Rhinolophus ferrumequinum: one gene and its partners. The protein of the gene in region 1 purifies or fractionates together with the protein of each later gene. This does not show direct contact. Links are inferred from orthologs where the notes say so. Each region holds a gene or a part of one and is shown in the gene's direction. Other genes may lie near its edges.

The links.
Region 2: the proteins of RELA (region 1) and RPS3 purify together in Homo sapiens (co-immunoprecipitation; 5 studies listed by BioGRID and IntAct, with this or other methods). This does not show direct contact. The link is inferred for Rhinolophus ferrumequinum from reciprocal best matches to the Homo sapiens genes RELA and RPS3.
Region 3: the proteins of RELA (region 1) and PML purify together in Homo sapiens (affinity purification with western blotting; 3 studies listed by BioGRID, with this or other methods). This does not show direct contact. The link is inferred for Rhinolophus ferrumequinum from reciprocal best matches to the Homo sapiens genes RELA and PML.
Region 4: the proteins of RELA (region 1) and TWIST1 purify together in Homo sapiens (affinity purification with western blotting; 3 studies listed by BioGRID and IntAct, with this or other methods). This does not show direct contact. The link is inferred for Rhinolophus ferrumequinum from reciprocal best matches to the Homo sapiens genes RELA and TWIST1.

What each region holds. Positions count from the first base shown.
Region 1 is NC_046294.1:6,052,298-6,059,516, forward strand, and holds the start of RELA (transcription factor p65), read left to right. Parts: upstream 1-4,202; 5' UTR 4,203-4,357; coding exon 4,358-4,364; intron 4,365-4,869; coding exon 4,870-4,896; intron 4,897-5,005; coding exon 5,006-5,157; intron 5,158-5,292; coding exon 5,293-5,441; intron 5,442-6,259; coding exon 6,260-6,351; intron 6,352-6,684; coding exon 6,685-6,816; intron 6,817-7,219. UniProt on the Homo sapiens protein: NF-kappa-B is a pleiotropic transcription factor present in almost all cell types and is the endpoint of a series of signal transduction events that are initiated by a vast array of stimuli related to many biological processes such as inflammation, immunity, differentiation, cell growth, tumorigenesis and apoptosis.
Region 2 is NC_046294.1:50,086,928-50,093,752, forward strand, and holds the start of RPS3 (40S ribosomal protein S3), read left to right. Parts: upstream 1-3,821; 5' UTR 3,822-3,932; coding exon 3,933-3,962; intron 3,963-4,800; exon of another isoform or gene 4,801-4,947; intron 4,948-5,103; coding exon 5,104-5,234; intron 5,235-5,513; coding exon 5,514-5,607; intron 5,608-6,047; coding exon 6,048-6,142; intron 6,143-6,825. UniProt on the Homo sapiens protein: Component of the small ribosomal subunit. The ribosome is a large ribonucleoprotein complex responsible for the synthesis of proteins in the cell. Has endonuclease activity and plays a role in repair of damaged DNA.
Region 3 is NC_046289.1:98,761,175-98,768,479, forward strand, and holds the start of PML (protein PML), read left to right. Parts: upstream 1-4,304; 5' UTR 4,305-4,450; coding exon 4,451-4,585; intron 4,586-6,267; coding exon 6,268-6,734; intron 6,735-7,305. Other genes in the region: STOML1 (stomatin-like protein 1), read right to left, coding at 134-240, 1,991-2,123.
Region 4 is NC_046303.1:20,389,099-20,396,499, forward strand, and holds TWIST1 (twist-related protein 1), read left to right. Parts: upstream 1-4,722; 5' UTR 4,723-5,084; coding exon 5,085-5,687; 3' UTR 5,688-5,729; intron 5,730-6,232; 3' UTR 6,233-6,882; downstream 6,883-7,401. UniProt on the Homo sapiens protein: Acts as a transcriptional regulator. Inhibits myogenesis by sequestrating E proteins, inhibiting trans-activation by MEF2, and inhibiting DNA-binding by MYOD1 through physical interaction. This interaction probably involves the basic domains of both proteins.

The sequences.
Region 1 (7,219 bases):
CATCAGTGAATAAAATAGAACCCTGCTCTCATAGAGCTTACATTGTTGGGGGTTGGGTTTATATAACAAAAGTAAATATATTAAAAAGTAAATTACTTAGTTTATTCAAAAGTGATTGGAGAAACCAAAAAGAATGAACAAGGTAAAGGAGATGGGCAGGTTGGTTGCAATTTTAAATAGGGTGCTGAGGGCAGGACTGATGGAAGTGTATATACTTAAGGAAAGATTTAGAGAGGGAACAACGGAAGAGCCTTGCAAATAGTTGGGGGTGCAGGGGACGTGGGGCGGAGTACTGTTTCAGAAAACTAGACCACAGTAGGGGGAGAAAATAACCTCAGATCATCATGGGGGACATTTCCACCATGAACATTTTGGTAGAATGTCCTGTAAACTAGGGGTGGGCAAACTAAGGCCTGCAGGCCAAATCCAATCCTTTGCTAGTTTTCCTACAGCCAGTGAGCTAAGAATGGTTTTGTATTTTTTAATGGTTAAGAAAACAAAAGAATATTTCACAACAAATAAAAATTACGAAATTCAAAGTTCAGTGTCCACATATAGTTGTATTGGAGCATAGCCATACTTTTGATTCATTTACTTTTTGTCTATGACTGCTTTCACACTAAAATTGAATAATTGTGTCTGAAATACAAAGCCTAAAATACTATCTGGCCCTTTACAGAGAATGTTGGCCACCCCCTGCTCTATAAACTATTGTGCTATCTTTTGAATACAAAAATAGGTTCTTCCTGTATATACTGTTTTGTGACCAGCTTTTTCACTTAGCAACATAAATTGAACACTAGTCATTAAATATTCTACAGCACAGTTTTAATGGCTACATAGTGTTTCGTTATTTAGATGCACCTTAGCTGCCATAACTAGTTGCCTGTTAGCTATTGTTTTTTTCTTTGTTTGTTTGTTTTGTTTTTCTTTAAGATTTTATTGGGGAAGGGGAACAGGACTTTATTGGGGAACAGCGTGTACTTCCAGGGCTTTTTCCAAGTCAAGTTGTTGTCCTTTCAATCTTAGTTGTGGAGGGCACAGTTCAGCTCCACGTCCAGTTGCCGTTGTTAGTTGCAGGGGGCGCAGCCCACCATCCCTTGCGGGAGTCGAACCAGCAACCTTATGGTTGAGAGCCCACTGGCCCATGTGGGAATCAAACCGGCAGCCTTCGGTGTTAGGAGCACAGAGCTCCAACCACCTGAGCCACCGGGCCGGCTACATCTATATATGTATGTATGTACGTATGTATGTATGTTTTAAGAGGAATGTTGGGGAACACTGTGTTTTTCCAGAACCCATCAGCTTCAAGTTAAGTCGTTTTCAATCCAGTTGTGGAGGGCACAGCTCACTGGTCCATGTGGGAATTGAACCGGCGATGTTGGTGTTATGAGCACTGTGCTCTAACCAACTCAGCCAACTGGCTGCCCCTCTTCAATCCATTTTGAGTTAGTTTTTGTATATGGTGTTAGGTAAGGGTCCAACTTCATTCCTTTGCTTGTGGCTAGCCAGGTTTCCTAGCACCATTTGTTGAAAAGACTGTCTTCATTGAACAGTCTTGGCACTCTTGCCAAAAATCATTCAACCATGTATGTGAGGGTTTATTTTTGGGCTCTCTATTCTGTTTCATTGGTCTATATGTCTATCTTTATGCCAGTACCACATTGTTTTGATTACTGTAGCTTTGTAGTAAGTTTTGAAATCAGGAAGTGTGACTCCTCCAACTTTGTTCTTCTTTTTCAAGATTGTTTTGGTTATTCAGGGTCCCTCAAGGTTCCATATGTACTTAAGGATGGATTTTTCTATTTCTGTAAAAAGAGAATTGAGATTTTTTTGACATGAGAGAATATGTAAGATGATTGAGGTTAAGTTAAAACCCTGTAGTCCTAAACTTGAAAAGGAGATATGAGTATGAATTCCTGGTGCATTTCATATAAAAATATACATACTCATATATATTGCCTAACTGTTCACTGAAAAGGTCCATAATGATTGACCCACTAGCAATAAGTATCCCTAGAACTCAGACTGTGGTCTCTAAATACCATTTCCCAGTAAAAGGAATCAGAATTCCTCAGAAAGCTGTCTGATTCCAGATCTTGGACACTATTGGAATTGTGTCAAAAGGACCGAAGAACCAACTTCAGAAGGTTCCCAGTGGCCAAAGATGGAACAATTTGAACTTCAATAAGAATAATTAAAACAGATTAAAGCATATCAAGTGTTTAAATCCATGCATTAAGACTTTTTTAAAATGCATGCATTAAATTTTGGAGGATGCTAGAGAACCAAGGCATTATTTTGAAAATTGATAATGGGAAATTCTATACCCTAATAAATCACTTTTAGGTATATACTGAAGAAAACTCCTGGATACATGTACAACAGGAGACAGTCACAGGAATGTTCTTAACCACACTGCTTGTAATAGTGAAAACTGGAAGTCCAAATGGCCATCCGCAGGATGAATAAATAAATAACCTGCGGTGTATTTACACAACAGAATAGTATGTAGCAGTAAAAAGTGAATGAACTATGAAACATAAACCTTAGTAATATGTTGAGTGAGAAAAGCAAGTAACAAAAAACAAGATACTCTCTTCATAGAAGTTCAAAAGTAAGCGAAACCAAGCAACATATTTGTGTAGCCATGTATATGAGTAAATTTTTTTTCTTTAAAAAAAAACGTCAAGGGAATAACAAACAGAGAATTCTAGATGGTGGTGCCCTGGACACCGGGATGAGGGGATGGACAGATGTGGAGCACCGAGATAGATGTAAGTTCTGGTGGTGTCCTATTCAGCCCCTTGAGTTTTACAGTCAGCACAACAATTCAATTTATTGATTTGTTACAAATATATATGAATTTTTTAAAAGAGGATCATGCAAGGATCAATGATGATTGTGTGTCATTAACCAAAGATTATAAGTAACCCATTCTGTGGACTTGAAAAGTCAGCCTCCTCAAAAAAGTAAACTGACTTTCCTAATCCTGGCCAGCCACAGGAGAAACTGAAATGAGTGGGAGGGGTGGTAACTATTTTCACTTTTCTTTTCCTGTTTTTTCAGAGCCTGGTAAAGCAAGTCAGAATTTCCAATCTTTTCCAATTCCCATAAGATTCCTTAATTTAGAACGAATTCAGAGAAAATAAAGTCTTTTTCCATCTGGAGAAGGCTCCACCGCCTGCGATGGAGCATCCTCATTCTGGGATGAGGAACCGGTCGGGGGTGGAGGGTGCTCCAGCCCCAGCCTCCACCCTCATCCCGCACGAACGCCGCCTAGGGCTTGAACTTGGGGACAATATCCCCCTGAGGAATCACATGACAGTTAATCAGTGGAAATGGTTTAGCCGACGGCTGGTCCCTTGCAGGAGGTCCTAGGGAGACGACGGGCGGCGTGGGGTGCGGCGGCGAGACACGGCGAGTTCTAAGCGGCCCCTGGGGGTTCCGGACCTTCTCAGATAACAGGCGTCAGGTGGCAGAGACGAGGCTCCAGTTGATATACCCCTGGGCGCCTTATGCTTAACCCATTGCCACCGAGGGCCGGCAGTGTGATGCACCTTAAACTGGTGTTTGAGTTGGAAGCGAGAAGCTCTCGGCCCGGTCCGCCCGCGATAGCGGACGCAGTACGGAGCTTCTGTCGCCCCTTGCGTGCAGCAGGACACGCTTAGCCCAGTGACCAAAGCACCGCCATGTGAAGAGGTCCGGGCCCTTCCCTTTTCCCTCCGCTGCATCTAAATTAGTGTGGATGGGAAATTTAAAAAGTACTTCTGCGGCGACAATCACCAAAAGACACCTTTTAGCGATTAGGAAACTGTGAAATTCAGTCACTCGGCCAAAGACGGAGTAGGCACGGGCCTTTCCCTGAGCAGGGCTGGCGGCAGGAGCCCAGCAGTCGTAGGTTTGCTCCAGACCCGGCCCGGGTGACATCACCAAACTCCTCTGATTGGCGGGAGGGGGCCCCGAAATCCCCTAAAAACATTGTGAGTAATCGCCGGGTCCGCCCTCCAGGCGGGGCCCAGACCCAGAAGCAAGCCGAGCCTCCCGGCCAGCGGCCTCCGGACCGACTCGGTCTCTGGAAAGGCGCACTTGCTGCCGGTCTCCGGCAGCAGCGTGCACGCTGCCTCTCCGTCCTTGGCGCAGCGCCCAGTGGTTCCCGGCCCCACAGGGGGCGGCGGCGGCAGCGGCAGCGGCGGCGGCGGCGGCGGCGACGGCGAGGCGCGCAGGCGCGGCTGCTTCCCGGCAGTGACGCGGCGGCGGGCGCGCGCGTCGCATTTCCGCCTCTGGCGAATGGCTTTGCTGTAACGCGCGCCCCGGGCCCAGCTGCGACCCCGGCCCCGCCCCCGGGACCCCGGCCATGGAGGGTGAGGGCGTCCTCTGTTCCCGGGGGATGGCCGCACTGGGGCCGGAGGGACCGCGCCGAGAGCCTCCGCGCTACCTTCCGCCCCTTCCTGCGCGGACGGGCGCTGCGCAGGGAGCGGCCGGCCGGATGGTGGCGCGGGGCGGGGCAGGCGTAGAGGGGTCTGACTCATTTTCCCCTCTGGGTGGAGGGGCCCTTGACTCAGTATTTTCCTTGGGTGGAGGGAAAGGGGGAGCTTTGATTCAGTTTCCTCCTCGGGGCACAAGGGGACAGTTCTGACTTAGTTTCCTTGTTAGGGGAGAATGTATCTGACTCAGTTTCCCCCAGTAAGGGGAGAACTCCATCCCCAGTGTTCTCTCAGGAAACAGGTGTTTCTGGCTCCTTTACTCCCACCCCTTAGATTCCCCCGCAGCTTCCAGGGAGCAGGCCCTGACTCAGTTTCCCTGGGAGGCTCTCCTTGGTGAGGATGGGATGTGGGCTTGTGCTGACGCTTGTCTCTCCCCTTTCAGACCTGTACCCGCTCATCTTCCCCTCAGGTAAGTGGACCATCTTTCCTCAGTGGCTCTGGAGGAGCTCCCCAGGGTTGGAGTGGTGGGAGCAGCTGCCTGATGGGGGTTGGCCCATGTGCCCGGTGTCTCCCCGCAGAGCCAGCCCAGGCCTCTGGCCCTTATGTGGAGATCATCGAGCAGCCCAAACAGCGGGGCATGCGCTTCCGTTACAAATGCGAGGGTCGCTCAGCAGGCAGTATTCCAGGCGAGAGGAGCACTGATACCACCAAGACCCACCCCACCATCAAGGTCAGCACCGGCTGCCTGGCATGGAGTCAGCGGGTGGGACCGTGAAACCCCAGCAGGCTTACCCCCTGCAATCTGTGTCTGGGAGTTGGGTCTGGAATTCCTGAGCCTCTACGGTGCTCTCTGTACTTTGGACAGATCAATGGCTACACGGGGCCAGGGACAGTTCGCATCTCACTGGTCACCAAGGACCCCCCTCACCGGCCTCACCCTCACGAGCTCGTGGGGAAAGACTGCCGGGATGGCTTCTATGAGGCTGAGCTCTGCCCAGACCGCTGCATCCACAGGTGAACACCCCACAGGCGGGCAGGACGTGGGGGGTGAAGTGGGAGGACAAGAGGCTATGCAGTTGTGTCGCTGTTACAGTGTTACTGCTTTCTGGACACAGAGCATAACTCGCACTGTTTACTGGCAAACGGATTTCCTTTGTCTTGAAATTATCTGTGCGTCTACTCTCCCAAGCAGACATGAACTTGGTGGGATGAGGATGGGTCTCTGTTTACTTCTAAGCCCCCTAACCCCTGTGGCTGGAAGGGCGAGTCCCTCAGTGTCACATTCCATGCAGTGAGAAAGAAAATCACTGAGCCAACAGTTTCTCCTGTAGCTTATGGACAGGAGACTGTAAATAAATATATAAATAATTAAACAAGATACTGTTCAAGTGTAACAATTTTGATGATGAAAATAAAGCAGTAATAGATTGGTAGAACGGCCTGGGCTGGGGCAGGCCGGGGAGCTGGTCCCATTAATTTGAACTGGGAGGTCGGGAAGGCCTCTGTCAGGAAAGACTTGAACCGTGAGAAAGAACAGAGAAGCACGAGAGAACATTCCAAGCAGAATGAACAAGTGTAAAGGCCTTGAAGTAAAAGTTTGGAGAACAGAAAGAAGCCCTTGTGCCTGAGAGTAGGGAGCCACAGGGACTTGGCTGGTGCCAGGTCACAGGGTAGAAGCCCGTGTCACTCGGAGTCCGGATTGGGTTTCATTGCAGCACAGTGAGGGGGTTAAGCACAGAGTGATGATCTGGTCACGGGGCGGAGGAAGGGGCAAGGCAGGAGGGCCCAGGCTCTGCTGGAGACAGTGTGATTGATGCTTGGGGGGGACTCAGCTTCCAGAACCTGGGGATCCAGTGTGTAAAGAAGCGGGACCTGGAGCAGGCCATCAGTCAGCGCATCCAGACCAACAACAACCCCTTCCAAGGTGAGGGCTGAGGGGGCGAAGGAGCACCCCACCCTGTCACCCTTCCAAGGCCACCTTCCTTCCCTGCATCTCTCCCTCATTGGCCGAGCCTCAAAGTACAGATGGAATCTCGCTGCCTATTTAGTACACATTCCTGATTTACCATTGGGGAAACCGAGACCCAGAGAGGGGACATGACATCCAGGGTCATACAGGTCAGCGATGGGGCTAGAACCTTCTCTTCCTCCTCTAGGACTCCTGTTTCACACACCCTCAAACAGCCCTGCCAGCCCAGAGCTCCTTGCCCCTGAGTGCCCCCTGCCCTGGCTCTCCTGACCGTCATTTTTCTGGCAGTTCCCATAGAAGAGCAGCGCGGGGACTACGATTTGAATGCTGTTCGGCTCTGCTTCCAGGTGACAGTGCGGGACCCATCAGGCAGGCCCCTCCGCCTGTCACCTGTCCTCTCGCATCCCATCTTTGACAACCGTGAGTGGCCAGGGAGTACAGAAGGGGAGAGGGATGGGCCTGTGAGGAGACCTTGGCCTGCGAGAGGTGCTCTGGCTTTGTTCAGTCATCTTGCGTGTTCGGCTCTGCTGGCTTGGGGGACAAGGCAAAGAAGACCCAGAGCTGCCCTTGTGGCGTAGCTTCCAGGCTGGCAGGGAGTCACATGGGAGACAGACATTTCCAATATGTGGTGAGAAATGATGTGCCCAGAACTGTACTAATGACTGCAGGAAATACACTCCCAGGAACAAGACAATGTTGAAGAATAATAATTCAATGATGAAAGCTCACAGATGAATTGGGCTGACATTGATTAACTGCAGTCTTTAATTAAGTTACCAACAGGATGAATGAATATAAAAGGGCTCTAGAGCCCTCACAACAG
Region 2 (6,825 bases), about 44 Mb from region 1:
GAGCCCCAGGCAAACAGGCAACAAGATTGGTAAGACTCCTTATAAGCTTTCTTTTGTTCAATAAGTCTGCAAACAGTAACTAAGTGCCCTCTCTTTGCCAATCACGGTGCCAAATCTCATGGAAACAAAGAAAAGAAAACACCATTGATTTCTGCGTTGAAAGAGTACAGCAGCACTGCCCAACAGAAATATAAGCCACATATGTAATTCTGAAATTTCTGGTAGCCGCATTAAAAAAAAAGCGAAAGAAACAGGTGAACTTAATAGCATATTTTATTTAACTCAATACACCTGAGATGTTATTGTTTTAACATGTAATCAATATAAAAATTATTGTGATATTCTTTTTTTATATACTTGTATTTTACAGGTAGAGCTGTTTTTCTACTCAGACCAGCCACATTTCAAGTACTTAATAGCCCATGAGGCCAGTGGCTACCATGACAGACAGTAGAGAATTATAGTTGGATTAAGAGAATAAATTTTTCTTTACCCTAAGATTTCAGAAGACAGGATTATGGGATTTGGTGTTGGAGGCTGGTCCACTCACATTTTTTTCACAAGTGACCACATGATCAGAAATCCATGTATGTTGTTTGTGGCCCTTGCATTTTTTTTCTTTTTTTATTCATTTTCAATTTCATAAGTAATATGTGATATTCATAAGTAAATAGTGATATTTTTATTGTAAGAAAAGTTGAGCAATAAAGTAAATTGCCTTTTTACCACCCCCTCAGTACTGCTCCATTCCCAGAAGTAAGTTTAGCTCTCTATTAGTTGGCTATTGATTCTTCTACGCATCATTTGTATTCATCTATGTTTTTATTTTATTGTACATCAATATTATATAGTCCATATTGTTCTGCATCTGTTTTGTCACATAGCAATATCTCTTGGTGCTCTTTTCATGTGTGTACATACAGCCACCTCATTCTTTTTAGTCATTACATAATATTTCATAACTATTTCCTTGCTGAAGGGCTTTGAGCTGTTTTTTTTTTTTTTTTTTTTAAGATTTTATTGGGGAAGGGGAATAGGACTTTTATTGGGGAACAGTGTGTACTTCCAGGACTTTTTTCCAAGTCAAGTTATTGTCCTTTCAATCTTAGTTGTGGAGGGTGCCATTCAGCTTCAAGTTGTTGTCCTTTCAATCTTAGTTGTGGAGGGTGCAGCTCAGCTCCAGGTCCAGTTGCCGTTGCTAATTGCAGGGGGCGCAGCCCACCATCCCTTGTGGGACTCGAGGAATTGAACTGGCAACCTTGTGGTTGAGAGCCCACTGGCCCATGTGGGAATCGAACTGGCAGCCTTTGGAGTTAGCAGCATGGAGCTCTAACTGCCTGAGCCACCGGGCCAGCCCTGAGCTGTTCTTAATTTATGTTTTCACTATTGCTAACAGGGCTGTAGTGAGCATTCTTGCATCCACCTCCATGTATGTTTGTGTAGGTGTTTTTCTGGAGTAGATACAAAGGAATGTATTTGCTGGGCCAAAGGGAATCTATAGCTTAAATTATTGTGGGTATCATCAAGTTGCCTTCCAAAAAGATGCCCAGTTCACACCCCACCTACAGTGTGAGACTGCTCGTTTTCTCATGCCCTTCCATACACTGGATCTTACTTTTATTGTAAGTAAGAAATGTGAGTCCTTGAGCAATGATACAATGCAGTAAAAACAAAACATCTTTTAAAATTTGTTCTACAACCAACAGCATCATAACCCTGGAGGAAGTAACATATTTAACACGAGGGGTGGGGAAGGAAACAGCCAGTAAAGGAAGAGTATCTATCACACAAAGGGAAGGCATGATTGCTAGAGCAAGGTCTCAAAGGAATAGAACTAAACTTGAACTAGAACACACAGAGGAGGCTGACCTTGGTCAAAAAGAGGGTCTCTTTCCTGAGTAGGGAAGGATGGCCAAGGACACGTACAATTATAGGACAGAGAGGCAGTTCTTGCCTGTACAATCTATTGGGGGGGCAATAGGTTAGGAGGCAGGTTGACAGCTAAGAATGAGAAGACAGTTCTGATTTGATAAAGATTATGATAGGCACTGTGGGAGAATGAGAGCCATAGCTGAATGAGGAAATATTTTGACCCCAGCATGCAAGGCTGGGTGCTCTCCCACAGTGCCCACATCCCAAGTGAGAGCAAAGCAAAGTCAGGTAGGCAGATTCACCTAGGTTGAAATTTTAGCAGCCTGGCAACACTGAATTAACAGGCCATGAGCTGGATGAAAAGAGAAGTGAAGAACAGAGGGAGATGACATGTGAAGAAAAAAACCTGTGCCTGGGTTCCTCATCTCAGTGAGGGTTGTCACCAAGCATCCACCACTGGAGTCAAAATCCAGGCCATCAGAGCTGGCCCGGTGGCTCAGACAGTTGGAGCTTCGTGCTCCTAATGCCGAAGACTGCCGGTTCGATTCCCACATGGGCCAGTGGGCTCTCAACCACAAGGTTGCCGGTTCGACTCCTCGACTCCCGCAAGGGATAGTGGGCTGTGTCCCCTGCAACTAACAACGGCAACTGGACCTGAAGCTGAGCTGTGCCCTCCACAACTAAGATTGAAAGGACAACAACTTGACTTGGAAAAAGTCCTAGAAGTACATACTGTTCCCGATAAAGTCCTGTTCCCCTTCCCCAGTAAAATCTTAGGGGGAAAAAAAAAAAAAAGGAAAACCAGGGCATCATTCTCAATTCCCCCCTTTAACCTCAATTCATCATCAAGATGCATCAGATCCATAGCCTATCTGTCTCTTTGGTTCATCCACTTCTTTTCAGCTTCCCTGGTCCCTCTGCTCAGCTCCCTCCAGAACTCTGTTAATCCCATGATTACAGGACAGATCTTTGCGTCAGACTTGTTTTACTAGTGGGGAAAAGCTCAAATGGCTTCTAGGACCAGACAAGAAATGAATGAAGCTGCCAGGGCACATGGAAAAGCCCTTTTGCCATCTAACAAGGAAGGAGAACACAGTCATGAGGAAATGTAGGCCTGATATTTTGCTAGATCCTTCTATATTTTTAAAGAATAACCTAAAACAATTTAAGAGAGAAATATACTGATTTTTAAATGCAGGCAAACTATTCTCAAATTTAAAATAACTCTGTTGAAGTGTTTAGGGGTGAAGTGTACTGATGTCGGCAACTTACTTTGAAATGTGTCAAAAGATGCATTGGTGGGTGGGTAGAGGGATGGATAGATACGTGATAAAGCAAATAGAGCAAAAATGGTCGTTGCAGCACCTACGTGATGCATATATGCGGATGCACAATTCCTTCAACTTTTCTGTACGCTTGAAGATTTTCATAGTAAAATGTGGGGGAGGGGGGACTATTTTTAATTGAAAAAGAATTGTGAGGCCATGAACCACTCCTTTGTTATTTCTGTTACAAGTTATAACAGACTTTATGAACGTGAGGTAGGGATAAATGAGTTAATAATATAAAGCACACAGAACAGTCCCTAGAAAGCTTCAAGATATTATCATTTGGAACGGAGGAAATGAAAACAGATCGGAAGAGCTGGGCGCCTAAACGAATTTCACTGTAGACTTTCAGTCAATTTTCATTTCAGTGTGGAGTGTAGGGACCAGGGTTCCACGCTTGTTAAACTCTGTTCCTGTGTGAGTTATACTTGTAATTTTCATCTCTACACCTCATGTTGCTCATTTTTAAACTACAGTTATGAGAATTGGACTTGGACTCTAAGTTCCCCAGCAATATCCAAGTTCAGATTGATCGGTTCCGCCTGTTTCCGCCTGTAGGTGTCTCCCTTACTTTTCCTTTTCCCTGACGGCCTTCCTAAAATAAAAACTGTATTTCCCATGAGCACCCACAGGCGTCGACGTCGCGCAGTTCTTTGTCGTCACGCCGCGCCCTTTATACCCACTTCCGCCTGCGAGCCACTTCCTTTCCTTTCGGCGGCGCACGGCGGCAAGATGGCGGTGCAAATTTCTAAGAAGAGGAAGGTGAGACGTTGGGGCCCGGGTGCAGGGGATCGCAGCGCCGCGGGAGTCAGGGGCTTCTCGGCGTGCTGTCACGGGACCCGGAGGTCCGTGCCCTACCCTGGGAAGTGGCTTAGCCCCCGAGGCATTCCCGTGGGCCGCGGATGGCGGTGGATGGAGTACGGGGCCCGAGGCGAGCGAGTGCGGTGTGGCGGAGAAAGGAGACGATTTCTGCCGGTTCCGGGCGGAGAGCAGAGATGAGCACCGGGTGCCTCTCCTGCCTCGGAGAAGGCGATTGTGAGCACTTTTTGCTCGACGAATAAAGTTAGTAAATGTGGTATTTTGAGGGCATGAGCCATTCCTTTCAGATATTAACATCATGGTTTTGGGGAAAGGTAGGTAGCAGTGTATTCCTGCCGCCTTAATACTCGTGTCTGGGTGCAGCCTTCAGACCCCAAAGGCCTTAACTGGAAAAGCAGCTGACAACTTCTTGCTCCATCTAGGAGACCTGGGAAGAACGCTTCCTCGGGTTCAACTCACTTTTTCATGAGAGGAAAGAGTAAAATTCATTAGTTTTAGACATAGGCAATTAGACATTGTTTGTATACTTACATCCATGTTAAAATTAAATCCACGAGCTTTTGTGAGGATTTGCCGGGTCGGTAAGACAGGTACATCCAGTAAGGCAAGATAACATGGCTGGGATTCTTCTGATGGTCCAGGTTGTGCCTGCAGTGTGACTGACTGCTTAATCTGTCACTTGGCTGGTGGTCCTGCTGTGCTGAATGAATGAGTTGTAAATGTGCCACTTTAGAAGTTTTTCGTTTAATTTGTGTACATATAAGTGACAGTCTTTAAAACCCTTCAATGAAGAGAAGATGACGAGTCTGACTGGAGGTGTTGTCTGTCCAGGTGCCCCTGCTCTGTGCTGCGTTCTGTGACACAGTTTTAAGGGTCCTGGGTCAGAGTAACTTCCAAAAGATGACCTAGAGGCATTTGTCTGAGAAGGGTTGCTACATTCCTGTTGGAACAAGGGTAATCTGATTGACGGTGGGGAATTAGTTGGAGGTATTGAATTGATGAGGGTTGTATTGGCTGGAAGGCTAGTAGGCAGGAAAAAGTGAGTCTACACACAACCTAATTTTGAACTTTACTTTTTGGTTAGTTTGTTGCTGATGGCATCTTCAAAGCCGAACTGAACGAGTTTCTCACTCGGGAGCTGGCTGAAGATGGCTACTCTGGAGTTGAGGTCCGAGTTACACCAACCAGGACAGAAATCATTATTTTGGCCACCAGGTAAAAACTTACTCTCCTGGCCATCACCTGTAATTGTTGCATGTACACTAACGTGGGTTCGTTCGGTAAACTTAAGGGCACAGCCAATGAATTTGGCCTTAGGAAATGTAATTTTTTTTTATTGCCTTTTTTTTTTAGTCTATTCTTGTCGTCCGAATTTTATACTTGCTTGTATTGTGTGAATGAGATTTTACTGCTGCATACATGCAAGATTTGAACTTACATCTGGAATTTTGTGAGAGCTGTGAATTGTCACTTTTTTTTTTTTATTTTCCACAGGACACAGAATGTTCTTGGTGAGAAGGGCCGAAGGATCCGGGAATTGACTGCTGTGGTTCAGAAGAGGTTTGGCTTTCCTGAGGGCAGTGTAGAGGTGAGTGATCCAGACTGATGCTAGAGGTTACTGTGAACCTAGAAATGGCTCTTTACGATGGTACTTCTAAAAACCTTTACCGTCACACTGAAGAAGACTTTGTTTATTTATGGTCGGTGAGTAGTGCTCATTTCTGGTGGTTAAGGGATTTTCACATTCATCGTGGGTATGGTAATGACACATATGATGGATTGGCTGCCCCATCAGTCTCCTTGGTTTGGCTGTAGGAAGAGCTGTGCGAGGGGAGGGCAATGAGGATTGGCTCAGCCTAGGTCACTGAGCGTGAGCTGGGTGTGGGTAGTAGACGTGCTTTAGTATTTGAGCGATACTGCGGTAAGCTATACAAACCTGTATGCTTGTATGGCGAATGTGCTCACTTTTAATCGAAAACAATGATGAAAGGAACATGTTGAAAGATATACCTTGTTTCTTTTTTAAAGCTGTATGCTGAAAAGGTGGCCACAAGAGGTCTGTGTGCAATTGCCCAGGCAGAGTCTCTGCGTTACAAACTCCTAGGAGGCCTTGCTGTGCGGAGGTGAGTGTCCCTGTTTTTGTGGATTAGAATGTGGCGTGTCTGTCGTCTTGTTCAAATGAACTTTTCTACTCGGCAGACTGCTGATGTCTGAGGGTTTTAACAAAAGCTACTGTCAGTCCACGTCCTTGCTGAACTGGCACTCTAGCAAGAAAGACTAGTAAAGAAGCAAGTATTTAAAGAGTGGTCAGTGTGATGATGGAGAACTGTTCTAAGTTTTTGGGAGTAAAACAAAAGTAAAACTCCAGGGAGGGGAGGTTAGGATTCCTGTTGAAGTCATTCAACTCCATATGTGAGAGAGCTCAAGATCTAGTCACTTATCTCTGTGAGCTGTAGATAGTAACGTGAGGAGGCCTGGCCTATAAAGGACATGGAGTGACTAGATTGGCCCTGAAGCTGGGGCTACTGATAAGATTTCTTTGTGCAGTTTGACTATGAAATAATTGGAATGCCTTACCTGGGTGTTTGGAATTTAGTCAGTACTCAGTGCAAAGCCCAGGATGGGGGGGGTTGGTTCCGCAGAGGAGGGTCATGAGGGCTGTGCTCTAGGGTAGGAAAGGCGATAGGTGAGGACGTATAGTATACTACCTGGTTTAAATGCCTGGGCCATCGTCTGACAATTTAGGGGAAAAAATTCTCAGTGGCCCAGTTAGTCTGTTTTAACAAGCCTTCCAGGTAATTTTTGC
Region 3 (7,305 bases), on another chromosome or scaffold:
TCCGTTTTGCAGAAGTGTGCTCGTACAATATTTAAGGGAAGGGGGCAGAGCACAGGGAATTTGTCCATCATCCATCAATGCCAAAGCTCTCAGTGAGACCCAGCCACTCTGAGGCCAACCCAATCATCCTCACCTTCAGGGCAAACCAGCCGGAAATGGGGAAGGTGATCAGCAGCAGCAAGAACCCCAGGAAACTGATGAAACCGTGGCAGATGCAGGAAGGCCAGGTCTGAGGAGCATCTAGGGAAAGAGAACAGGCAGGCAAGGGGTGCCAACTGCAGGCAGAGTGAACGTAGTCAAATGTACCTTTCGACCTCCTCCCACTTCAGCAGCTCCTTCTTTCTCAGGGCTCTCGATCTGCCTCCTTGCCTAATATTCCCATATCTTTGTGCAAGTCCCACCCTCACAAGGCTATTCTCTTCTGGGCAACAGCCACTGGATCTGAGAAGCCAAACCACGTAATGCTCTCCTCACTGGGCAGACAGAACGTAAGTCAGTCTTGTTGTCTGATTTATACTGCCTTCCCATACATGGCACAAAGCCAGGCGCATCTGGGCATCTGTAAACACCAGCTGAGTTGAACTGACTGCTGTTGCATAACTCATCCCTCTTCTACCATCAGTCCCAGAAGTGTGCTTTCAAGGAGTCCTTTTGCAGATAATGCCTTAGCCCAAAGGGATAAAGCATTAATGACTCACCAATAGGAGCCATAGGTGAGGGCTAAGATGTTCTTTCTTAGCTCACATTCTTCAGTCCATTTTAATGCCCTAAGGACCATCAAATGAATGCTTCACTTAAAGAGCTTCAGGTGGGAGATGGGGGAGGGGCAAACTAGAAAGAGGAGGCTCATTTGAGCCCAGGGTGTTGGCCCCTGAAGAGGAGCCCAGGATGAGTGAAGCTGAGGCAGCCTCAGAATCTGGGATGAGGTTATCTGCTCTGCTTTCCTCCCTGCCCTGGACGGGAAGCAGACTGGAGCCTCTGCTCCATCTTCCCAGGAACCGCACACCCTCAGGGCTCTCCGAACCCCAGGATACTGTCTCCTTTCCTGCCTGGCCCTGATCCACGTGTCCCCTGCAGGAAAGGAACCCTTGGATGGGGCAGCTGTCATTACAGGAGGGCCCGGGAGGGACCAAATCCTCCACGGCTTGGTGTGAGGCTGAGGAATGTGGGATCTGGAATGTGGAACTCAGGCTTTGAAGCAAGACAGGGCCAGAGCAGACCCACAGACCACTAGGGGCCTTTTTGGCTAGTGCATCTCCACCAGGAAACAGGGAGATGTTCAAGCTCAGGGTGTCTAGTCTAGAGGTGTCCTGGGGGTGAAGATTCTGCCATTTCTCTGCAGCCAAGTGCCCTTCGTGTGCGGATGACCTTCTATGGCTAGACCTTGGTTTCTTTCTAGTCAAAACGGCAACTTGAAACCTATGCCCAGGTTTCCTCCTCTTCAGAAAGGGAGGGTTGTCTGCATTCCTGGGGTCCCTCAGGAGTCCTCGCCTCCTCCTGCATGTTTCCGCTGAGCCTTAGAAAAGGTGCATGAGGGGAAATTGGCGTTGCAGGGGTTTTTTCAGGAGCTGAATCCTCTCCAGAATCAAGGAAATGACATCAGCACTCCCTCTCCAAACTCACGAACTGGGGTAGGTGTGTACGCGGGTGCTGGTAGGGCAGGCGTGCTTATCTAGAATTACGGTTTCTCCAGGGCGCGGTCAGCAAATTATTCTCCTTTGTGTGCCCACAGCCCAGCAAGCAGAGCTGATAAGAGCGGAGGAGGAACGAGGTGGCACGAGCCTTCCTAGACGATAAGAGCTCCGCAGCTGCAGCCCCACAGCCCCAGACAGGGCCGCGCAACGCCAGCATCCAGCGCCCAGTGCCGGCCCGTCTCGCTCCCTCCTCTTAGAGTGCGAGCGCTAGAGCAGCCGACTCCTGACAGGCAGCGAGTTCGCGCTGGGGATGCCGGCGGTCCCCCCGGGGTCCGCAGTGCTGGGCGGCCACTCACCAGCTTCCGTCTGCACGCCGCCGGGCTCCGGGAACAAGCAGCCCTTCTGCGAGCCCAGGAAGCCTAAGCTCGACTGCTGGAAGCGGTCGAAGTCCCCCAACGGCAGCGGCCGGTACCCAGACCTGGCGAGCATGACTCCTGACGGGACACACCCCCACTCAAAGAGCGCGGCCCGACCTGCCAGCCCCTGCGCCGCCCCCCTGCGGCCCCCGCTTCCGGGTTTCCGTGCCCCGCCGGCGCGCAGCAAGAGGAGGCTGGCCCGCTAGGCTCCGGTCGTCGCACAGCGCCACCTGCTCTAGGAGGACCGAACTGCGGCGGCGGGGCGGGACGGTGAGCTGCGTTCCTGGGAGCCCGCAGGAGTCCTCGCCTTCTCCTGCATGTTCCGCCTGGGCCTTAGAAAAGGAGCATGAGAGGAACTTGGCTTTGTAAGGGGTTTTTCAGGAGCCGAATCCTCTCCAGGATCAAGGAAATGGTACCAGTCTTCTCAGCACTCCCTCTCCAAACTCACATACTGGGTTGGGTGTGTGTATGTGTGTGTTGGGAGGGGAGGGGTACTTATCCAGAATTACAGTATCTCCAGGGCATGGTCAGCAAATTATTGCACTTTGTGTGCCCACTGCCCAGCAAACAGGTACTGGCACAGAGTGGATCTCAGTACTTGTTGACCAGGTTACTGTGGTCAAGGTGGGGCGGGAGGGCCTGAACTTGGGCACAAAAAGAGAGACATTTCATGTGCAGACCTCAGGGAGCACGGTGGAGTAAGGAGTGGAGGGTTAGCACAGAGCTACCACGTGGCAGGCCCTCCAGAGCATCTCAGACGTGGGATCCTCAGTCCTGCAGGTCTCGAAATAGCACATCCCTTGTTCCAGGTACCCAGAGGTAATGTGACTCTCCACGCCTGAGCAAACCCAAATGCAAATTGCGGATTTAATCTGAGAAGCATTAACTTCCAATAGGGCATTGAGGCAGGCTGTCTTTCAAAAGAGTGAAGAAATTAATAAAGCTTTCCTTGTCTCGGGCACATGCCAGTCTGCCTACTCATGCCTCTCAGTCCCCCAGCCATAGCCCAGTTCCAGGTCCCTTCTGCAGATGGCTGCTCACCATCTTTGGCTTTTCCTAGTTTGATGGCCTGATTCGAAAGCCCTAGGAGTACTGATCAGGTTGGAGGTTAGGGCCGGCTCCTGGGGCCTCACACAGTCCCGGGGAACTTGGGTTTCCCCCCATTTCTCCTCCACACACCTTCATAAACTTTTACAAGAGCAGTGCCCTATCACCATCCCTTCAAGCCTGTTCCAAGCTGTAACTGAGCACAGAATGGGTACCCAAGAGCCAGCACAGCGGTTGGGATGATTTGAAGTTTGAAGTCAGGGGCACTGGCCCAGTGAGGCCGCCTGGAGCTGTGCAGTCTCCCCTCACCAGGTGGGGGTCTGGCATGCATCTCTGCTGGCCAATAGCTAACTTGCTCTCTCCTCACTCTTCATACCCATTCACCAGCTCTCCCCCTCCCCCTATTCCCCACTGCCTCAGATACACCAGCCTTTCCAACTGTCACGCAAGGCATCACCCTGTCCTCCTCATCTCCACTCGTGTCCTTCCAGTGTCTCTGACTCAGATCCCTCCTTGCATCGCACAGCCACTGTCCTAGACCAGGCCACCTGCCCCTAGGTTGTCTGAGTGACCTTTACAACATGCACAACAAACACATCACGCTGTACCTGGATTCCAACCTGACTCTATCGCCTATAAAACTGGTCCATCTACTTAGCTTTGATTTTGCGCCAGCCCACTCCTGGGCCGATATAGCTCTTGGGTCCCCTCTTAAATCAGAAAAAAACCCAAACTACTTTCTAAACAGGCTCTCCTGTTGCAAACCTCCATGCCTTTGCATATGCTGTTCGCTCTGTTTAAAGTGTCTCCCCAATCTCTGAATCCCTGGTGAATTCCCACCGTTTCAAGTCCCAGCTGAGGAATCTCCTTTCCAGCCAGTCTCAATACAGTGTGAAAAATCTCCGTTTGAGGGCCTGCCCTTTCACTAGATCTGGGGTTCCTCCAAAGCAGGAGTCACGTGTGGCTCATCTCTGTGTCCCCCGACTTCCAGCGGAGGGCTGGCACAAAGCTGTACCACTGTGAACTGATGGAAGGTTCAAAGCGGAGGGCAAGGGATGCCTCCCCCAGGTTGGCTGGGCCATCGTCCGGATCATACCCCCAGGTCAGTTGTGCGTCTCCTCTCCGCCTTCCTCCTCACCGCCCTGGGCGTGTCTTCGAAACCCCCAGTCGGCTTCTCCGCCCCTTGAACCGCCCCCAGCTCGTGTGTCACTTCCTCCCGGGAGGCTGGCGGTGAGTCGGCACCACCACTTTCGGACAGCTCCGGAGACTCAGCCATTTGGCGCACGAGTCTCGTTCAGCCTCTTTTCCCGCCCCTTGAGATCAAATCCGAGAATCGAAACTGCGCTGAGATCTATGCCCCAGGAGCTGGCACCCGCCCGATCATCCGGGCCCCAGCAGGACCCCGCACTGCCCCACACGTCCACCATGCCTCCCCCGGAGCCCCTGTCCGCAGGCCAGCAGCGCAGCCCCGGCCACAGCCCCACAGAGGTACTGCTGGGTTTGGGGAGATGGGGTTTCGGCTCTGTTGATTTGCAATGGTGGGAGAGATGAGAAGGCAGAGGGAACTTGGCCACGTACACAGAGGGAAAACCAGATGCCAGGGTCCTGACCCACTTGGCTCGATTAGGGGTAGGGGAGAGTAGAAAAGGGAACGAGGGGATGAGTTAAGGGAGCCACTCTGGGCTGCGATTCTCCACCGAGCAGTGCCACCTGGGACCGGACACTTCCGCCTGCGCGCCGCCGACTTGCCTCTTTGCCCTTGCTGTGACCAAGGCCGGCAGGTTAGGAGAATGGAGGTAGTAGCCCTAAAGTCCCCGCCTGGAGCCAGGGTCATGTTCCACGTGTGGGGGTTAAAAAACAACAACAACAAAAAAAACACCCAATCCCAGCTCAGAATGGGAAACCGTGGCCCGGACAAGAGAGCTGTATCAGCTAAGGCCTCCCAGCTCCTGTGGTTTCTCCCCTAGGAAGCCTTCCAGATCCTTCTCTGGGAACACTCTACTCGCCTAACCCCTATCACCAAGAGGGGTTTATTAGGCTTTCCTCCTGTAAGCTTTTGCCTTAATCTTCTTCCGGACAAACCCCAGCCTTACATACCCGAAGGAACTACTTAGACACAAGCTCGATGTTCTTCCAGACCCGTTTGAAAGCACAGATTGCAGTAATTCGTATTATTTGCATAATTACAACTAGGGATAGTATTGCTTAACATTACTAGTTAACATTTATGAGCACTTTTCAGGTGCCAGGTACTGTAGTAAGCACTTTTTTGCATTTTTTAAATTGTGGTAAAATAAACACAACATAAGATCTGCCATTTTAACCATTTCTAAGTGTATGATTCAGTGGTATTAAGTACATTAACCATGTGTAACCGTCTCCACTGTATATTTCTGGGGTTTTTTTCAAATAGAAACTCCGTACCCCTTAACACCTTCCTCTCCCGTTTCTCCAGCCCCTGGTAATCTCTAATCTACTTTCGGTCTCTGAATTTGCCTACTCTAGATAATTTCTTATAAGTGGATTCATATAATATTTGTCCTTTTGTTATTTAGCATAATGACCTGAAGGTTCATCCATGTCGTAGCAATGTCAGAATGTCCTTCCATTTTAAGTCTGAATAATATTCCATTGCATGTATATGCCACATTTGCTTATCCATTCATCTGTTGATGGACGTTTGGGTTGTTTCCACCTTCTGGCTGTTGTGAATAATGCTGCTATTTATGTGGGTGTACAAGGATCTGTTTGGGTCAGTGTTTTCAGTTCTTTTGGGTGTATATCTAGGAGTGGAATTGTTGGCTCATATGGTTGATCTCTGTTTAACTTTGAAGAACCACCTAACTGTTAAGCACTTTATGTGAGGTTGATACTTAATGTATCTTCTTTCTAAACTGAATTCCATGAAGACAAATATATCTTTGTATCTCAGGGCCTAGTACTTTGTCTGATGGAAAGTAGATACTTAATAGATTGCGGAATGAGAGTGAGAAGGCCTAAGTAAATGGGAAACTGGGGTGCTGATAAACCTGGGTTTTGCATCATCCTATGACTGCCTGGACTGGAATGTGAAATCCCATTCCAGCCTCCAGCCTTTGGGGCAGGTATTGGGTGGTTGAGGATTCCTGGGACCTCAGGCCTCATCCTCCTCCCCTCTGGTCCCCCCTCAGCAAGCCACGGAGGAGGACTTCCAGTTCCTGCGCTGCCAGGGCTGCCAGGCAGAAGCCAAGTGCCCTAAGCTGCTGCCTTGTCTGCACACGCTGTGCTCAGGATGCCTGGAAGTGCCCAGCATGCAGTGCCCTATCTGTAAGGCGCCCCAACTCGCAGGCACTCTCGGGCCGGCCCTGGATAACGTCTTCTTCGAGAGTCTGCAGCGGCGCCTGTCGGTATACCGGCAGATCGCTAATGCACAGGCCGTTTGCACCCGCTGCAGAGAGTCAGCCGACTTCTGGTGCTTCGAGTGCGAGCAGCTCCTCTGCGCCAAGTGCTTCGAGGCGCACCAGTGGTTCCTCAAGCACGAGGCCCGGCCCCTGGCAGAGCTCCGCAGCCAGTCGGTGTGCGAGTTCCTAGACAGCACGCGCAAGTCCAACAACATCTTCTGCTCCAACCCCACCCACCGCACCCCTGAGCTGACGAGGTGAGTCAGTGGGCGGGCTGCGGTGGGGGGGCCGCATCCAAGAGCCGGGGAGAGGGTGCGGGGAGCAGAGATCCAGGGTCATAAAGCTGAGAACGTGGGATAAGGAGCTTGCAGGGTCTCGCAACAAGCAACATCTCTGACGATGTGCACAATTTATGCTCTCCGACCTGAGTGGATAGTAAGAGTTTATGATTTTCCACTCTAATAAATAATGCTGCCGAACCATCTTTGCACCTTATTCGGTAATTCCTTTAGGATCAATTTTTAGAAATGCCATTGCTAGGTTAAGGGGTATGAAAATTTTACATTGTTACATGTTACCAAACTGCCCTTCCGAAAATCTTAATAGTGGAATTCTCCGTAAGTGCTGCTGTGGGATCTCCCTCCGTATAGCTCCGTTTGATTCTAGTGGGATAAAATGCAAGTAGTTAGTTTCTGCTGAAAAGTCACAGTTGTAATACCGTGCTATCTGGGAATGTAGGTATGGCGGTTATTATTTTTATTAAACAGCACAAGATTTTAATTCCTTTTTTGATAAAGACTACAATTAAGTGTTTAAAAAAAATTAGGA
Region 4 (7,401 bases), on another chromosome or scaffold:
TAAAAGTTACATAAATCAGCCAGACATGCCCAAATGACATTTGTTGATTGTGTAGTATTTTTGCTTTTTTGTGAGTTTTCCTTTTCCCTAAGCTTTTTTTTAAACAAAGTTCTCTGGGAAATTGTGTCCTCTTGTGGTCACCGGCAAAAACAGCATGTTTTTTGCAGAAACAATCAATCCAAACAATGAATATAGGATTTAAGGCTTGGGGATAGGAGGAGCCATTTGTGGATAAAAGAAAATCCCTGGAAGTAAAAAGAGTTGCAAGTTGTGAGTGATTACAAAGGGAACATTAGCTGGAAAAAGGCAAAATGCAAATCATTTGATTTACATTTAAATTGCTTGATTATCAGATGATTAAAAAGAAGGGGAAAATGTTTACTATGTAGGAAGTTTTCGGCCATGACAAAAGCATCTATGAATAACTATGAATTTATCACATTATTTCTTCAATTATTGCAGCAATTTTTTGAAATAAGTAAAATGAGATGATTTTAACAAGGTTACTTGGCAGCAAAGATGGGACACAGACTCTCTAGCCTGCACACCCAATAAACTAACAAAGAGAGAGGGAGGAAAGACTCTTCAAAACTCCATACTTTTCCACTCTGATTCTTCTCTCCCTACAATTTCAGCAAGTTATGTCTCCTTATTTCATCCTTGTTTTAAGTGCAGAATGCCAGCTATTTGAAAAATTAATATTTATTTGAAAATTTGATTGGCTTATTTGAGGTAATCTTGGCAGCTCAATTTCTTGTGACTTATACTTTCTCATTTAATTTCTGGATTGAAAGCTTCAAATTTTCATTCCTTGTAACTTTAGTTCCTCACTCTTAAAGAAATTCCGAAAGAGAAACGTAGAATCAGTCCAATGCATGAATTAACCTACCATTAAATGAGAAAAAGAATGACCTCTAATTTAGGGCAAGGTGTTCCAACATCATTAAGGCTGCCTGTGTCACTGAGGAAGCATCTGCTTTTTACACAGAGGATCAAAAGTCCTTTGTGCTGACATAAACTTTATGTTCCATTTCGATAAAATTTTCTCATTTAAATCCCGGTAGTGTGCAAAACCTGATTTAATCTAAGATGTGCAATGTCCTGGCAGATCTGCTCCACTGCAGCGTTTTCCAATTTGCGCCCCCTTCTGTGTGAATGCCATGCTTCATTCATGAAATTCTGAGAAATTATTTTACAGAACTCTAAGCCAGCAAACAGGTGGTAGATCATCCAAAGACTGAGAAGAAGGAGTACACACAGATTTAAGTACTCACCTTTTGTGCAAGCCCCAACTCCAAAATTTACCGACTTGCTCACCATTTCATAGTGTATGGGTGTTTCCTTCTCTAAAAGTATCTATAAATGACTTGCTAAGAGAATGGCAGTGCATATTCCAACTGTAAAGATACAGATATAAACATACTTATGGAAGATTCTCACTGAGATTCCTAACTGTTACTGCTAACAGCATTTTTAATTTGTAACATCACACACATTCTTCAGGAAGAACTGCAAACAGGACTGCAAACATGCCAAGTTTGCAGTTTGAAAACAAAGCTCGTTTTGAACTATCGAGTGCAAAAGAAAACTTTTTTTTTTTGTTTTCAGTTAAATTATTTTTCAGGGAATTTATGCTAGAAGTAAACAAAATGATTTAATTCCAATTAATCCAGTATTCCCAAAGAAGGTAGTCCTCCACCGAGGTCCTTCAAGTCAGGCTGAATTCAGCCCCAAAGGTAAATTTCTAAGACTCTTTAAGAACCCGCAATTAAGCTTTTAGAATTAAGTAAGCTTTCGTAGGTTAAATATTTTGGAAGCTATCATTGCATATACAACATATGCAGAATTACATTTGGCTCTTCAGCACACAGAAGGGGATCCCACCTTTATTCGTGCACCAGCAAGAGTGGGTAAGAAAACTGTTAGACAAAATGTCAAGTAGGATATATAGCTACAGATGAGCAGAGTGGTGGGATAATCCAGCCAGGAAACGTTGTAGTTTGCAAAGCAGGGTGTTTCAAGCCCGACACGTTTTGCAAGGTTAATTCATTGGGCAAGCTACATCCTTGGGCTCAAAAAGTAACATGTGAGCACTCGGAAACCCCTCTCAGTCTCATCCTCCACTCTTTCCAAGAGTTCAAGAGAGATTTCTTGTCAGAACTACAGTCATTCATTTTGATTCCGTCAGAAAGATTCCGTGCCCGGATGGTTCTGGTTAGGTCACTCATTTTAAACCTTCTTCTAGGCATTCTGTCATCCAGAGCTTCGCCTCAGCCCTGGGGATCCCTGTACTAAATGGCCCCCTAGAAGTTTAGTGCCCGAGAAGGTCTGGGCTCACTTGTTTAAGAACTAGTCTTGGAGATTGATGACTTTGCAAGTCGGGCTGGCTAATGATCCCTGGCTGCTGCGCAGTCATGGACTCGGTTTCTCCTCCAGTTTCTCCGCCCCCATTTCCATCCCCCCAACCCCAATTCCCCTTGGTCAGGTAAGGTTTCCTTTACACTTTGCCCACACTTTCCTGTCTTGCTTACCCACAGCCACAAAGGAAAGAGTCCAATTATTCGATCTCCTTAGTTTTGAGAATTCGGCTAAAGGGAAAAACAAAAACAAAAAATTAAGTTTGGAGATTGATGCTTTAAAAAAAAAACCGAGATAGGCAAATGTGGAAGGAATATTTTAAAGAATTCTGAAGTCACGTTCAAGTAAGAATCGCGGAATACTCTGCAACTCAGATTTCCAAGAGAGAACACTAGGTAGAGAGGAGGGCAGAATTTCTGCCTTGTTCTCTAACTGCTTCCAAGAGATAAAGTCCTACGGCAGAAGATGCAAACACCAGGGTGACTAATCAGAGTGAGCTTTGTTTTAAGGAGACCTGCCTACGTGGAGACCTGCCTATTAAGTGGAGGTCAAGTAGAATTTGATTTTCATAGAAGCTGATTTTAAAATATGGCAGCGACTCGCGAAGCAAGAGTTGGCATGCAGTGGTCATTGTTTCTGAATATTCGTAAAAATAGTGATAGACAAATCCTGCGAGTCGGCCCTCCCTGCCCCCCAAAAAGTACAAAGTACAATCTTGTGAGCTCCCCGCGGGAGAGATGCCTCTTGCCCTCACTTCCCCTAGAAGACTGAGCCCTTCAGTTGCCCCAAGCGCTCCAGACCCCGGGTTTTCCCGAATCGAAGCTGCAGGAGCCTCAGCCCCGCACAGCCACGTGGCCTGCCCTCGCGTCGCCCGAGCTCCCGCCTCCTCCATAGGGCGCCCGCGGCCTCGACCCTCTGTCCGACCAAGAAAGGGGCACTTCGCTCAGTTAATCCATGGCCTGCGCAAGGGACCCGAGCGCAGGGCACACAACACCGGCATCCCCCAAATCTGCCACCCCCCCACCCAACTACTACTTTTGACCTGTGGTTTGCTTTGCAACGTAAGGCGTGAATATGAAACGGTTCTTCTATCCCAACGCGTTCAAAAAAATAAAAAGAAAAACAAAGCCTTGCATTGCAAAGATGGGCTTCTCTTCCACAGCGGCTTCCCTTCACTTCACCAGCTCACCAACTTTTGTTGCTTCCAATCTGTCAGATTCTGCATTAACACCCTCTTAGGGGATCTTCGTTAATTTATTGGATAGAAATGTTTAAAATGTAAAAGTGTCCAAATAATTGGAATGCCTTTGGGGCGCAGGAAGCATTAATTGCCCGCTCGATCTCCTAGGAATGGGGGGTGGGGGTGGGGTGTGGGGAAGGGGACTCTCACAGCTGGCAACAATGTTGAACCCCCATCTCACTCTCTTAGGAGCCGACCTTTAGGGGTCACAACGCAGGACCTTATTTAGGAGAGGGGGACGAAAGGGACACAGGGTCCTCCACCTTGGGATGGCAGCTCAGGCGATCAGGGCGGCGGCGAAGACGCTGCGCTGCCCACTCCGGCCCTGACGCCTACTCCAAGGACAGGACTGCCTTCCGCGGGAGAATTAACTTCTGCCTCATTCTGGCACCTTCGTAGATGTAGTCCATCTGGGTGTTGGGAAGCTTTAGATTGGATGACTGTGGAGGGAAAAAGAAGGCCAGATGCTTCTAGGGGAGGGGTGAGAGAGCAGGCCGGGGCGCAGATCCTCAGTCCCCACGGCGCGGCCACGTCTTCAGAAACGCCCACGACCTCAGGGCCAGCCGCGGTGGTTTGGCCCTTGGGACTCCAGGGCCCCGTCTATCTAACCATTGGGTGGGCTCCGCGTTGCCAGTTGTCTTGCCTTTCCCCCGCCCCAGCAATCCCCAACCGGCCCCACGGACCTAGAGGGTACTGTGGCGAAATGAGACATCACCCACTGCGAAGAAGCTGTTGCCATCGCTGCTGTCACAGCCACTCCGGGAGGGACCGACACCGCGGCCGCGACGGTCCCCTCCGGCCGCTTCCCGGGGCTGCACTCCGGTGCGGGGGCGCGGCCCGCGCCCGCTCCTGCGCGGAAGGAAATCGTCCCGCGCCCGCGGGCGAAGGGCGGCGGGGAGGGAGGGGGAGGGCAGCAAGGAGGCGGGCAGAGGGGCCGGTCTCCCGAGCCAGGTCGGTTTTGAATGGTTTGGGAGGACGAATTGTTAGACCCCGAAGAAGGGGGGTGGGGACGGAGAAGGGGGGCTGGAAAGCGGAAACTTTCCTATAAAACTTCGAAAAGTCCCTCCTCCCCACGTCAGGCCAATGACACTGCTGCCCCCAAACTTTCCGCCTGCACGGAGGTATAAGAGCCTCCAAGTCTGCAGCTTTCGCCCAACTCCCAGACACATCGCGGGTTCGCCGGCACCCGCAGCGTTTCCAGGAGGCCGAGAGGGTGTGCGTGCAGCCGTTGAGCGCTTACTTTTTGGACCTCGGGGCCATCCACACCGTCCCCTCCCCCTCCCGCCTCCCTCCCCGCCTCCCCCGCGCGCCCTCCCTGCGGAGATCCTCCCCGTCCCTCCTCCCGCTCCCTCCTCGGCGGGCCGCACCGCCCCGGCCGGCGCCGCGCGCTGGGGAAGCTGGCGGGCTGAGGCGTCCCGCTCTCCTCGTCTTCCCCGGGCCGCCCCTCTGCCCCGGGCCTGCAAGGCCGTACGTTGCCGCCCGAGAGATGATGCAGGACGTGTCCAGTTCGCCAGTCTCGCCGGCCGACGACAGCCTGAGCAACAGTGAGGAGGAGCCGGACCGGCAGCAGCCCCCGAGCGGCAAGCGCGGGGGGCGCAAGCGGCGCAGCAGCCGGCGCAGTGCAGGCGGCGGCTCGGGGCCTGGCGGGGCCGTGGGCGGGGGCGTCGGAGGCGGTGAGGAGCCGGGCAGCCCCGCACAGGGCAAGCGCGGCAAGAAGTCTGCGGGCTGCGGCGGCGGCGGCGCGGGCGGTGGCGGCAGCAGCAGCGGCGGCGGGAGTCCGCAGTCCTACGAGGAGCTGCAGACGCAGCGGGTCATGGCTAACGTGCGGGAGCGCCAGCGCACGCAGTCGCTGAACGAGGCGTTCGCCGCGCTGCGGAAGATCATCCCCACGCTGCCCTCGGACAAGCTGAGCAAGATCCAGACCCTCAAGTTGGCGGCCAGGTACATCGACTTCCTCTACCAGGTCCTCCAGAGCGACGAGCTGGACTCCAAGATGGCAAGCTGCAGCTATGTGGCCCACGAGCGGCTTAGCTACGCCTTCTCGGTCTGGAGGATGGAGGGGGCCTGGTCCATGTCCGCGTCCCACTAGCAGGCGGAGCTCCCCACCCCCTCGGCAGGGCTGGAGACCTAGGTAAGGACCGGCGCCTCTGCGCCCCTTCGCCGCTCAGGTGGCAGAAAGACTAACGGCCAGGCCGCGGGTCCCTGCCCTCCTCGCCTTCCTTCTCCTCTCCCTTTCAGCCTTCCCACCCAACCTGGTACCGCCACCTCATCCCGAGTGTCCCTGGAGACAGTCGGTCCGGCTAGGGAGAGTGGGCTGCGCTTTTGGGAGGGGTGTGCGTGTGCGTGAGTGTGCGTGACAGGAGGGAAGACTGAACAAGAGGCAAGGGTCTTGGGTTAAGGACAGTCTTGCAAGCGCCTCCCTTTCTTTTGGCTTTAAAGTTTTCGTTCTCCTTACAACCAGTGTTTCCAAATTCCACCTCCTTTCCGCCCACCCACTTCCTCTTGCCCTTGGGCTGAAATCCTTCCAGGTTGTTCAGCGTAATTTCTCGGTGGTGATAAGTGCTCACTAGTCTTAGAAAACAGCCACAGAGACTTAAACAATAACCAACTTTACCCCCTTTTGGGTTTTTGCAGATGTCATTGTTTCCAGAGAAGGAGAAAATGGACAGTCTAGAGACTCTGGAGCTGGATAACTAAAAATAAATATATATGCCAAAGATTTTCTTGGAAATTAGAAGAGCAGAACCCAAATCCAAAGAAACAGGGCGTGGGGCGCACTTTTAAAAAAGAAAGCGAGACAGGCCCGTGGACAGTGATCCCCAGACGGGCAGCGGCACCATCCTCACACCTCTACATTCTGATAGAAGTCTGAACAGTTGTTTGTGTTCCTTTTTTTTTTTTTGACGAAGAATGTTTTTATTTTTATTTTTTCATGCATGCATTCTCAAGAGGTCGTGCCAATCAGCCACTGAAAGGAAAGGCAACAGTATGGACTTTTCTCCATTTTAAAATGGTAACAATCAGAGGAATTTTAAGAACACCTTTAGAAGTAAAAATACTGGGATCAAACTGACTGGCAAAATCATAGTCAGTTAATTCCTTTTTTTTTTTTTCATTCTTCCTCTGAGGGAAAAAAAAACTTAAAATACAAAAAAACAACATTCTATTTATTTATTGATGACCCATGGTAAAATGCAAATAGATCCGGTGTCTAAATGCATTCATATTTTTATGATTGTTTTGTAAATATCTTTGTATATTATTTTTCTGCAATAAATAAATATGATTGAAAATTTTAAGAACTTTAGAGTTTGGTGTATATTTTTAAAACTCAGGATTAAGTTGGAGGTAAATACCTGCTTGTTTAACTCTGGAGGCATCCAGGAGGGAGGGGGCATTAATATAAACAAAGCAGTGAAAAACTCAAATAAACTAGCTACTGACAGGTACTGGCATGTTATTTAGAAAGACAGCTTTATTATTCCAATTTGGTATCCAGTGGGCTTAGAAGCACCTCTCCTTCGTCTCCTATCAGGTCCCCAAACAACAAAAACTTAAACTTGTTATTCACCTCCCTTGCTTATCTTTTGAGGAGGTAGCTGTAAAACAGTTAAATGCAAATCAGCAGTATGAAACCATTACTATTTTCTTTTGTTACTGTGTATTTTTCACTTTTTGTGAGGACTTTTAAATACTAGGTTCGTTTCAGTGAAAGGATGCATGAAGTGTTGTTAAAATTATACACATATAAATGAATACAAGTGCATAGAAAATAATAAAGTTTAATTCAGCAGGAAAGAATT